2 linked regions of the Drosophila melanogaster genome follow. The protein of the gene in region 1 interacts with the protein of each later gene in a pairwise test. Each region holds a gene or a part of one and is shown in the gene's direction. Other genes may lie near its edges.

What was found.
Region 2: the proteins of Ptp69D (region 1) and Hmg-2 interact in a two-hybrid assay, tested with the Drosophila melanogaster proteins (one study listed by BioGRID).

Annotation. Positions count from the first base shown.
Region 1 is NT_037436.4:12,733,199-12,741,127, forward strand, and holds the start of Ptp69D (protein tyrosine phosphatase 69D), read left to right. Parts: upstream 1-1,746; 5' UTR 1,747-1,954; coding exon 1,955-2,051; intron 2,052-2,859; coding exon 2,860-2,962; intron 2,963-3,054; coding exon 3,055-4,898; intron 4,899-4,957; coding exon 4,958-5,203; intron 5,204-5,261; coding exon 5,262-5,505; intron 5,506-5,573; coding exon 5,574-6,468; intron 6,469-6,527; coding exon 6,528-6,674; intron 6,675-6,730; coding exon 6,731-6,841; intron 6,842-6,910; coding exon 6,911-7,090; intron 7,091-7,154; coding exon 7,155-7,462; intron 7,463-7,523; coding exon 7,524-7,659; intron 7,660-7,721; coding exon 7,722-7,799; 3' UTR 7,800-7,929. Other genes in the region: small ribonucleoprotein particle protein SmD1, read right to left, coding at 425-785, 1,305-1,318. UniProt on the Drosophila melanogaster protein: Possible cell adhesion receptor.
Region 2 is NT_033778.4:21,144,330-21,148,182, forward strand, and holds Hmg-2 (high mobility group protein 2), read left to right. Parts: upstream 1-1,873; 5' UTR 1,874-1,971; coding exon 1,972-2,375; intron 2,376-2,434; coding exon 2,435-3,161; 3' UTR 3,162-3,279; downstream 3,280-3,853. Other genes in the region: Xbp1 (X box binding protein-1), read left to right, coding at 1-535; CG15657 (uncharacterized protein), read right to left, coding at 3,385-3,641, 3,701-3,785.

The DNA of each region.
Region 1 (7,929 bases):
ACATTGTCGTTTGTTTCATTGTTCACCACGCATCCTAATGGCAGTAGTAAATATATTTGAATCTATAGCCTAGCTTAAGTAACACAGTTTTCTCCTACTATTGTTGAACATTTGAAAGACATTTTGTGCGTCCAAAAACAATTAAAAGTATAAAAAAGCGTTTTTACAAACTTTCAAACATTTTTAATCATAATTTAATGGCGGGAGTCTTCTTTCAATTTGTTGCCAAGTAAACACATTTTTCCTGAGCTACTACACAGAGTGATTTTTAACAATATACATATTCAGATGGAGTTTCTTTACTAGCTGAAGACATTTGTCAGTTGTTCGTACATAGTAAATGCATACAGTGTGGATTTATCCAAAGAATATTTATATTCTATATTTATCGAATATTGTTTATTAGATGTAGCTGTTACAAAGATTAACGTCGGCCTGAAGCTCGGCCCCTTCCGCGACCCCGTGGACCACCTCGTCCGCGGGCGCCTCTGCCCCTGCCGCGATTTCCCACGCGGCCGCTGTCCTTCTTTTTTGTCTTCGACTTCGGGGTGTCGTCGATGAGGAGCGTCTCCAGCGGCAGGCTGTCCGGCAGTATAAAGTATCTGATGTTGTTGCCGCGAATGCTCAGCGTCTCCAGGTGGACGGGATCCCGGTTCTTGATCGTCATCCGAACGCTCTTCAGGTGAGTGTTCATGGCCACATCCACGCCGGTAATGGTGCCGTGGATCTGGGTGCCGTTCTTCAGTTCGATGGTCACGGTCTCGTGACTTAGCTTCATAAGGAATCTGTAATGCATCAACGGGAAGATTAGTAAACGAAATTAAGGAAATCCCTGTTGCAAAGATGCAGCATTTCAGAGATGCAAGGCTATTATAGGTAGAAACAAATATCTTATTGGGTGATTGAAAAATGAGATACAATAAGGTGTATGCAAGCAGCCTTTATGATGAAATATACTTAGTAGAGCCTTTACTTTTAGCAAATTAGTACGAATTTAAAGGTAGCTTGTATTTGGTGGCCTTGGATTAAGAGCGTTGATTGCATTGAATATAGTTATGCAAAATGCTACTTAAAGTGCAAGAATTGTTACCAGATACAAGTAAATAATGGAAAACTATTATAATAACAGATCAAAACAACATTCGTATTAAATTAAATTTTGTGTACAAAAACAACAAATGGGAGCATCGCTTTTGCATGCATACATGTGTGCAGAATCGCAGAACTCAAAAACTGAATGAAACTATACTGCACGCATTGCTAACAAGTTTAGTTTTAGTTTAGGTAAATGACGCATAACATACCTTACTAATTTCATGTTTTTATGTGTTTTTGGTGGTTTTCTGCAAAAAAAAACGCGCACAAACAATGCCGGCTAGTTTACTTGGAATTTGGTGGTTGCGGTGAACTGTTGTATCGTGTGCTAAGATAGCAACGCTCATTGGTATTGTAAAATATATCGGCTACCAAACGGAATCGTAATAAAAGTGAATATGAAGTAATAAATGAATTAATGCATTCCAGAAATAAATTATAAATTTGCAACAATTAAGTAACAATTAATGTCATACTGCTCTATAAATAAATACTTGTGTCTTATTAATTACTCATGTTAATAAATACGATTACGATTATATTATTATAATATACGATTATATTCCAATTCAGTTGTTCCAAATCCCTTGGTAACCGCAGCCAAGGGTACATATTCGACTGACTTATCGATAACGCCGCATATCGCGAAAAAAAAACAATCCAGTGTTAAGAAAATAACGATTAATACTTATTCGCGGTCGCCGTCTATTAACTGGTTTTTAATAAAACACATTTGTCGGTGTTTTGCACTCGCCGCGACATTAGTTCAACGCAGTAGAGCTTTTTAACTCAACGCAGACATCGAATATAATTTTTGACATATGTATTTATCCGGCTCGGAGTGAGAAATTAGCAAGCCATGGCGTTACTCTACCGACGCATGTCGATGCTATTAAATATAATTCTTGCATATATTTTCCTTTGTGCGATATGTGTGCAAGGATCTGTGAAACAAGGTAATGTTTCAAAAACTCAGACGAACATCATAATTGGTACATACATACGTACATCAAGAACCGTTTGTGGGTGTCAACAAATTGCAATGTCTCATTTTTTTTTTGTGTTGTTTTTGCAAATGTGAATGGAGTGTTTTACATTAAGTTGGAAACTGGAATTATCATTTGATATGGTGGTTAACAAGACGGTTGTATAGTTCTTAGATACAGTAGCACTCGAACTATGTCGGTAACGCCCAAAGATTACGGCGATGGGGTGAGATTTCAATTGGGGCTAAACAAAAGTAGTCGCGCATACATATGTACACACTTCCCGGTACATACATACGTTTTATGTTTCTGCGTACATACTTATGTACATCTATCTGATTTATCTGAAATATAATCACATATATATATATTTGTAATATTTCTTCAGCTAAATACGTGTTGATTCCGAAATTACGCCGGATTACTACCGCGAGTTTTATGGCCAATATTGTGGGTGTAGTTTCATTTTTATGTCTGGCTTTTACCGCCCATCCAGAAAAACCTTTCTTGGTGTCCATCATAAAACTTAAAATTTAATAGGAAAGTTAAATAAGAAATTTTCCTTCAATATAGTTCTAATTTGAATATTTTACTAAATCGCATAAAACCCGGAAGCTATAATCAGATTTAAATATACACAACCATTAATCAGGAAGATATATTTTAAGTCTAACATATTTTTAGGCTGACAGAAGCATGTTGCTACTAGATCGGTGTAATTTCTATAATTACGTCTATATACAAAACTGATAATTATTTTAATGAAATTTATTTACAGAGTGGGCAGAAATAGGTAAAAACGTATCTCTAGAGTGCGCATCTGAAAACGAAGCAGTAGCATGGAAGCTGGGCAACCAAACTATTAATAAAAACCATACAAGGTTAGTAACTTATTGCACAAGCATCTAAAAATATTTCTGCCCCCATAAAGATGGAATAACATAATAATCTGATCATTTTTCGATCTTTTCAGATATAAAATAAGAACTGAGCCATTGAAATCCAACGACGATGGCAGTGAAAACAACGATAGTCAAGACTTCATCAAGTATAAGAATGTCCTGGCGCTTCTCGATGTCAATATAAAGGACTCGGGGAACTACACATGCACAGCCCAAACGGGGCAAAACCATTCGACTGAATTCCAAGTTAGGCCATACCTTCCATCCAAAGTCCTGCAAAGTACCCCCGATAGGATTAAGAGAAAAATCAAGCAGGATGTCATGTTGTACTGTTTGATCGAGATGTACCCACAAAATGAGACAACTAATAGAAACCTCAAGTGGCTTAAGGACGGCAGCCAGTTTGAATTCCTGGACACCTTCTCGTCCATTTCGAAGCTAAACGATACGCACTTAAACTTCACCCTGGAATTCACAGAAGTTTACAAGAAAGAGAATGGCACCTACAAGTGCACCGTCTTCGATGACACCGGACTCGAAATTACCTCCAAAGAGATTACCCTTTTCGTAATGGAAGTGCCACAAGTTAGCATTGATTTCGCCAAGGCAGTTGGTGCTAATAAAATATACCTAAATTGGACCGTTAACGACGGCAACGATCCAATTCAGAAGTTCTTCATCACTCTGCAGGAGGCTGGAACACCGACTTTTACTTATCATAAGGACTTTATTAACGGCAGCCATACATCGTATATTCTGGACCATTTCAAGCCGAACACAACCTATTTTTTAAGAATCGTGGGAAAGAACTCGATTGGCAATGGCCAACCCACCCAGTATCCCCAGGGAATCACCACGCTTAGTTATGATCCCATATTTATACCAAAAGTCGAGACCACCGGCAGCACGGCGTCCACGATAACGATTGGCTGGAATCCACCGCCGCCAGATCTCATTGATTATATACAATACTACGAACTGATTGTCTCCGAATCGGGCGAGGTGCCCAAAGTGATCGAAGAGGCCATTTACCAGCAGAATTCTCGAAACTTGCCATACATGTTTGATAAGCTTAAGACCGCCACAGACTACGAATTTAGGGTAAGGGCATGTAGTGATCTAACCAAGACTTGTGGACCATGGTCCGAAAACGTGAACGGCACAACGATGGACGGCGTGGCAACAAAACCCACCAACTTGAGCATACAGTGTCATCATGACAACGTCACGAGAGGCAACTCCATCGCCATTAACTGGGACGTTCCCAAGACGCCAAACGGCAAGGTTGTGTCATATTTAATTCACTTGCTGGGCAATCCCATGAGCACAGTGGATAGAGAGATGTGGGGACCAAAGATTCGAAGAATCGATGAACCCCATCACAAGACCCTCTACGAAAGTGTTAGCCCGAACACAAACTACACGGTGACGGTGTCTGCCATAACGCGGCACAAGAAGAACGGCGAACCGGCCACCGGAAGTTGTCTAATGCCCGTCTCCACGCCGGATGCCATTGGCCGTACCATGTGGTCAAAGGTGAACCTGGACTCCAAGTACGTTCTCAAGTTGTATCTACCGAAGATCAGCGAACGCAATGGGCCCATATGCTGCTATAGATTGTATCTAGTTAGAATTAACAATGACAACAAGGAATTGCCGGACCCGGAGAAGCTAAACATCGCCACATATCAGGAGGTTCACAGCGATAACGTGACTAGAAGTAGTGCATATATAGCGGAAATGATAAGTAGCAAGTACTTTAGGCCGGAAATATTCTTGGGCGATGAAAAGAGATTTAGTGAGAACAACGATATAATCCGCGACAACGACGAAATTTGTCGGAAATGCTTGGAGGGTACTCCATTTCTGAGGAAACCCGAGATCATTCACATACCCCCACAAGGTTCACTATCAAGTAATTAATATAAACTTTATTTATTTTTTTTTATTTGAAACTAATGTGCTTTTCTTTAGATTCCGATTCTGAACTGCCCATTTTGTCGGAGAAGGACAACTTGATCAAAGGAGCAAACTTAACAGAGCATGCTCTGAAAATCTTAGAAAGTAAGTTAAGGGATAAAAGAAACGCGGTGACCAGCGATGAGAATCCAATTCTAAGCGCCGTCAACCCAAATGTGCCACTCCACGATTCTAGTCGAGATGTCTTCGATGGTGAGATAGATATTAACTCCAACTACACCGGATTCCTAGAGATAATAGGTGCGTAATGATTGATTTTTTGAAAGCAAAATGGTAATATCATGTTTATTTTCCTCAGTTCGGGATCGAAACAATGCCCTGATGGCTTATAGCAAATACTTTGATATAATTACTCCGGCGACTGAAGCTGAACCCATCCAATCCTTGAACAATATGGACTACTACCTAAGCATTGGGGTCAAGGCTGGAGCCGTATTACTTGGTGTCATACTTGTATTTATTGTGCTGTGGGTTTTCCATCACAAGAAAACCAAGAATGAACTGCAGGGCGAAGACACTTTAACACTAAGAGATTCTTTGAGGTAACTAGTAATTGTTTGATCTTCTTGATGTGATTTCAATTAATATTCAATTGTTTCTTCACATCAAGCAGGGCATTGTTCGGTCGACGAAATCACAACCACAGTCATTTTATAACTTCCGGAAATCACAAAGGATTCGACGCTGGCCCCATTCACAGATTAGATTTAGAAAACGCCTACAAGAACCGACATAAGGACACTGACTACGGATTTCTGCGGGAATATGAGATGCTGCCAAATCGCTTTAGCGATCGGACAACTAAAAACAGTGATTTAAAGGAGAACGCCTGCAAGAACAGGTATCCCGATATAAAGGCTTACGATCAGACGCGCGTAAAGTTGGCTGTCATCAATGGCCTGCAAACTACGGACTACATCAATGCTAACTTCGTAATTGGCTACAAGGAGAGAAAGAAGTTTATCTGTGCACAGGGTCCAATGGAAAGTACCATCGATGATTTTTGGCGAATGATTTGGGAACAACATCTAGAAATAATTGTGATGCTTACAAATTTGGAGGAATATAACAAGGCCAAGTGCGCGAAATATTGGCCAGAAAAAGTATTTGATACGAAACAGTTCGGAGATATTTTAGTGAAATTTGCACAAGAACGTAAGACTGGTGATTATATTGAACGTACCCTGAACGTTTCCAAGAACAAAGCCAATGTCGGCGAGGAGGAGGACCGTAGACAAATCACCCAATACCACTACCTAACGTGGAAGGACTTCATGGCACCAGAGCATCCACATGGCATCATCAAATTCATACGTCAAATCAATTCCGTCTACTCCCTGCAAAGGGGTCCAATTTTAGTGCATTGCAGTGCTGGTGTGGGTAGAACCGGAACCCTGGTGGCTTTAGATTCCCTAATCCAACAGCTGGAGGAAGAAGACTCGGTGTCCATTTACAACACAGTGTGTGATCTACGACACCAACGAAATTTTTTAGTCCAATCTCTGGTGCGTAGATATGGAAATTCCACTCGTAGTTGCTGTAATAACTTTCTTTTTGCTTGCAGAAACAATACATCTTTCTTTACCGGGCTTTATTAGATACTGGAACCTTTGGAAACACGGATATTTGCATTGATACAATGGCTTCTGCAATTGAATCTCTTAAGCGGAAACCCAACGAGGGTAAATGCAAATTGGAAGTGGAATTCGAGGTTTGTATAGTTTGTTATCTACTTGCAGGCGTTTTGCTTATTACTATTTATTTCAGAAACTACTGGCCACAGCAGATGAGATAAGTAAATCATGTAGTGTGGGCGAAAACGAGGAGAACAATATGAAGAACAGAAGTCAAGAGATTATACCCTACGATCGCAACAGAGTAAGTAATAGTGGCTAACTTTTATGCGAACTGTGTTTAATGTTTGTGAATGTTTTTGTGCAATTAAAGGTTATACTAACACCACTTCCGATGCGGGAAAACTCAACTTACATTAACGCATCATTCATAGAGGGCTATGATAATAGCGAAACCTTCATCATTGCCCAGGATCCACTTGAAAACACTATAGGAGACTTCTGGCGAATGATCTCGGAACAGAGTGTTACCACCCTCGTCATGATATCCGAAGTGAGTAGTGCCCTCTCTACTTTATTGGTTTCCCATTCAACTGAGTGCTTTAATTGCATTGCAGATCGGAGATGGTCCCAGGAAATGCCCGCGATACTGGGCAGATGATGAGGTTCAATACGATCACATACTCGTGAAATACGTGCACAGCGAAAGTTGTCCATACTATACTCGCCGCGAATTTTATGTTACGAATTGCAAAATAGACGATACGCTGAAAGTCACACAATTTCAATACAATGGTTGGCCCACCGTGGACGGAGAAGTTCCTGAAGTCTGCCGTGGCATTATAGAACTTGTAGATCAAGCATACAACCATTATAAGAACAACAAGAATTCTGGTTGTCGATCTCCACTCACAGTTCATTGCAGGTATGCGGCGATGCTTTGATTCATGCACTTGACGGATTAATCAATTATAAATTATTTGCAGCCTGGGAACCGATCGAAGTTCCATTTTCGTCGCCATGTGTATTTTGGTCCAGCATCTGAGGCTGGAGAAGTGTGTCGACATCTGTGCCACAACAAGGAAATTACGATCTCAGCGAACGGGACTTATCAACTCATACGTAAGTGAATTTGTTTATATTTTATTGTCAATGCATTAATTAGATGTTTATATGGTTTCTAGGCACAATACGAGTTCCTACATCGCGCAATAATTAATTATTCAGACTTACATCACATAGCCGAGTCAACATTGGATTAAGTTAGATATGTATATACTTATACGAGTACAGAATGCACGTGTTGGAACATCAATGCATCAAATGTGCTATGATAAATTATTTGTATATTTATAAAATCTTTTAATAAAGTATTTACAAGAGCAAGCGTAA
Region 2 (3,853 bases), on another chromosome or scaffold:
GCAGGCCATCAACGAGTCACTGCTGGCCAAGAACCACAAGCTGGACTCGGAGCTGGAGCTGCTGCGCCAAGAACTCGCCGAACTGAAGCAGCAACAGCAGCACAACACCAGATGCATCAGCCAATCCAACGCCAGCGCAGGCGCTGAGGGCTGTGCGTCCACCAACCTTGGATCTGCAGCATCCAAAGCTGACCCTCTGCCGCAGGGTATACAACAGGTGGACACACAGTCGTCAGCGCGTCTGCTGGCGGAGCAGCTGAAGAGCAGCAAGAGCCTGGCCTCACTCTGGAAAGTTGTGGCCCTCTGCCTACTCTACAAGACATGCTTGGCGTCGACGAAGAGTTCGACGTCAAGCGCCTCGAAGAGCTGGCCGAAAGTCTGCTCGCAGATATCACAGCAGACCTGGAAACAGGCGCTGGAGCGAGCAGCCCAGCTGCTGCCCAAGATGCAGGCAACGCAGAGCGATTGCCTGGACCAATGGTGGGGCCCGCAGCAGAGCGCTTGGAATCCGACGGGCATAGAGCTAATGGCCTGAATGTTGAGCAGGAACAGGAAACCGAGCACAAGGTCAGCCTAAATGTGCAGATGTTGAAGATAAATGGAAACCCACAGCATACCACAGCAGCGCCAGCCTCGAGAACAGCCACAATCACAGCGACAGCGGCCGCCTCGCAACTACAGGCCACTCCGGACACAGTGTACGGCACGTATGATGCCAAGACGAACTCGATCACCATCGTGATGGACGGGGATGCGGTGCCGGTGAACGAGGCCGTCGAGGAGATCTACTGTGACGGCGTCAGCGCTGGCGACGACTCAACGGACGTGATCATGAAGTGTCCGCCGCCAGCGACGTCTCCGTCACAGGTCTATCTCAACGTGATGAACGCCGTCGACAATTCGGACGACGAGGAAAGCTTCGATCCGATCGACCGATTCCTACGTCCGCGCGTTAAGGCGATCTCCCCGTTGGCCAAATCCCCCGCATTGTCTCTACACTCGGCCACCTCGGACCATGGATACGAGTCCATACTGGGCTCTCCCACATCCGTGGCTCTCACTCTGCCCGCAGATGAGGACGATTTCCCCTGGGAGAGCAACTTTGACGAGCTGTTTCCCAGTTTGATCTGAGTTTTTCAAGCTGAAAACTTCGTTCTGTCTCTCTTTTATTGTTAAGTTTGGCCGGCCGCCGTTTGTTTAAGTTTTTTAGTTGATAGGCTGTACATAAATTCATAATCGAAGGCTTTATATATGATACTGTAGTTAGAGCGCTAAGTTTAGCTGTAGGTTTCCATTTATATTTAACAATCTCTAACCACATAGGCTTATGATTACTCTTATATGTATGTATTGTGCTCAAAGAATTTGAAAAAAAAACATTTGACTAAAAAATATTCAAAATATAAACCAAACCAAACAACAAGCTCTTTGTTTTTGTTTACTCTAGGCGAAACAGAACTTTGAACTGCGTATGATAAATAGTTAATCACGCCACTTCTCTAGCATCACGCCACTTTTTTATGACGCAATTTCTGCGTAGATGATGGGACAGTTTTAGGTGTAAGCATATGAGTCATTTTGTTTTTATTAACCAAATATATATATATTACAAAAAGTGAGTTGAACTGACTGCAGATAATGCGGATAGGTGAAATAAAACCACAACTATGCTCTGAAATATATGCACCTTATTTATTAGTATATTATTCATTAATAAGACGAAATACAGCTCTGTTTTTCTCCAAACTGAACTAGGATTTAAACAAGATTTTGCTAAGCTCGAAAAATATATTTTTTAAAGAATATAAATAGAGCCACCCTAATGCGCCAGCAAAAGCGAATTTGTTTCGGAACTAGTTCGAAAAAGTTGTTTATAGACTTGAACCAGTTTTTGCTTACGAACCACATACCTGTGATTTTGCAGAAAGATAAACAATTTTTAAATGCAATAGAGTGTACGGTTAAACAGAAATGACGGAACCAACGAGCAAGACACCGGATGCGGTTCCGGAATCACCCGTATCACTGCCCATCGCCTCCCAATCCATGGATACGGCGACCATTGAAGATTTCGACGAGGACAAACCGGCCAAGGGAAAGAAGAAAGCCAAGAATCCAAAGGGTCGCCACTCGGATTCCGACATCGGCTCCGAACTGAAGAAGCTGGCCCAGCGCCGGATCAACGTAGCCGGTGCTCCAAAAATGCCACTTAATGGCTACGTCCGCTTCATGAACGATCGACGCGAGGAACTGCGACGGGAGCAGCCACAACGTACTGCCCTGGAGCACACAAGGATCATCGGCGAGGAGTGGCATCAGCTGCCCGAGGAGCGCAAGTTGCCCTACATCGAGGCAGCCGCCAAGGACAAGGCCATGTAAGCTCACACTTCGTTTCCAACCCACAAAATCTAAACATATCTTCCCATTTTCGTAGATATCAGGAGCAGTTGCAAATGTTTCTCAAGGAACACCCCGAAATTGTGGCCAACGAGTTGGCCAAAGCCAAGAAAGCCACAAAACTGGATGGTTCGCCCAAGGAAAAGACGCCGAAGGGTGAATCAGCCTTGGGCAAGGCGAAGAAGACCAAGGCAAAGCCGGTTAAGCGGCAGAGCGAGGATCCGGATGATGTGCCTCTGGCCAAGGTGAAGCGTGCCCAGACACCACCGCCTCCCACACCGCCAGCGGCTCCAGTACAGCCCCCTCCCAGCAGCGTGCCACCTGCGACACCTGCACCACGACCGCTGCAGCCCGGCGAGATACCCATCTACACCAACGAGTTCATCGAACACAATCGCAGCACGGAGAATGAGCTGAGGACGCTGCGCAAGGCCAAGACCGATCTGGAGCAGCAGAACGCTGTGCTGGAACAGCACGTAGATAATACGAAAGCCGGGTACGCCAAGGTGATGGGCGAGGTAACTGAGCTCATGGAGGAGAACCAACGCCTGGAGACCTATTTGCGCGCCTTGCGCCAGAAACTGGTCGCAGCTCTCGGCGGAATCTCGATGCCACCACTGGAGCCAAGTGGTCCCAGCGTTGGCAACATTGACAAGTACATCCGGCACTTAGCCGGGCTCGTCACTCAGCCAAGCAACGTCACTTTGATTAAGGCACGAGAGGCGCTGCGTAAAGTGGACACCAGTAGCTTGCTAAAACCGTGATTCATAGTACAGTATTCATAGCGTTAATAACTTCACCATAAACAATAGTCATAGTCATAGAACAATAGTTATCAATGCCAAGGATATCAAAAGAGAAAACCGAATAACAATAAAATATCCGCAGCATTTGTATGTAGCCAAGTTTTGGGAGCGCCCACTTTTGTATTTGTTAACGTCTGTAAGTTAGGAGACTACTCGTATGTACCCAAGAATATCCTCATTTTTAGTTGTCCTTGGGAGCGTCAACGCCGAGAGCGAGGCTGCGATGAGAGGGAAAACGTGGCACTTTACGTGGTCCTGCCGTGATCAGTCCGGCATCGCCATCCACGGAACTCTGCAGCCTTGGCGCCTTGGTCCGACGATTCAAACAGTTGCGTAGAATATAGTAGCCTCCCAGCATCAGGGGAATCACCATTACCGGGTGACACGCTATCCCAAGCACAAACAGAAATGTGGACATCATCAGGTTGATTAGGGCCTCTGTGGATCGGGTCGTGCCGATTGAGTAAGGCGAACATGGTCGTGAGCGATACACTTACGTTCAATGCTCGAAATGGTGGCCACTGTTGTGTAGATCGCATACGAAATGGCTTCAAGCACACTATAAATATAGTAGATCAGCATTTTGGATTTGTTGAATTTCCTGGTGGAACTGAACTGCTAAAGCGATTCGGGCAACTGGGAAAAGTCAA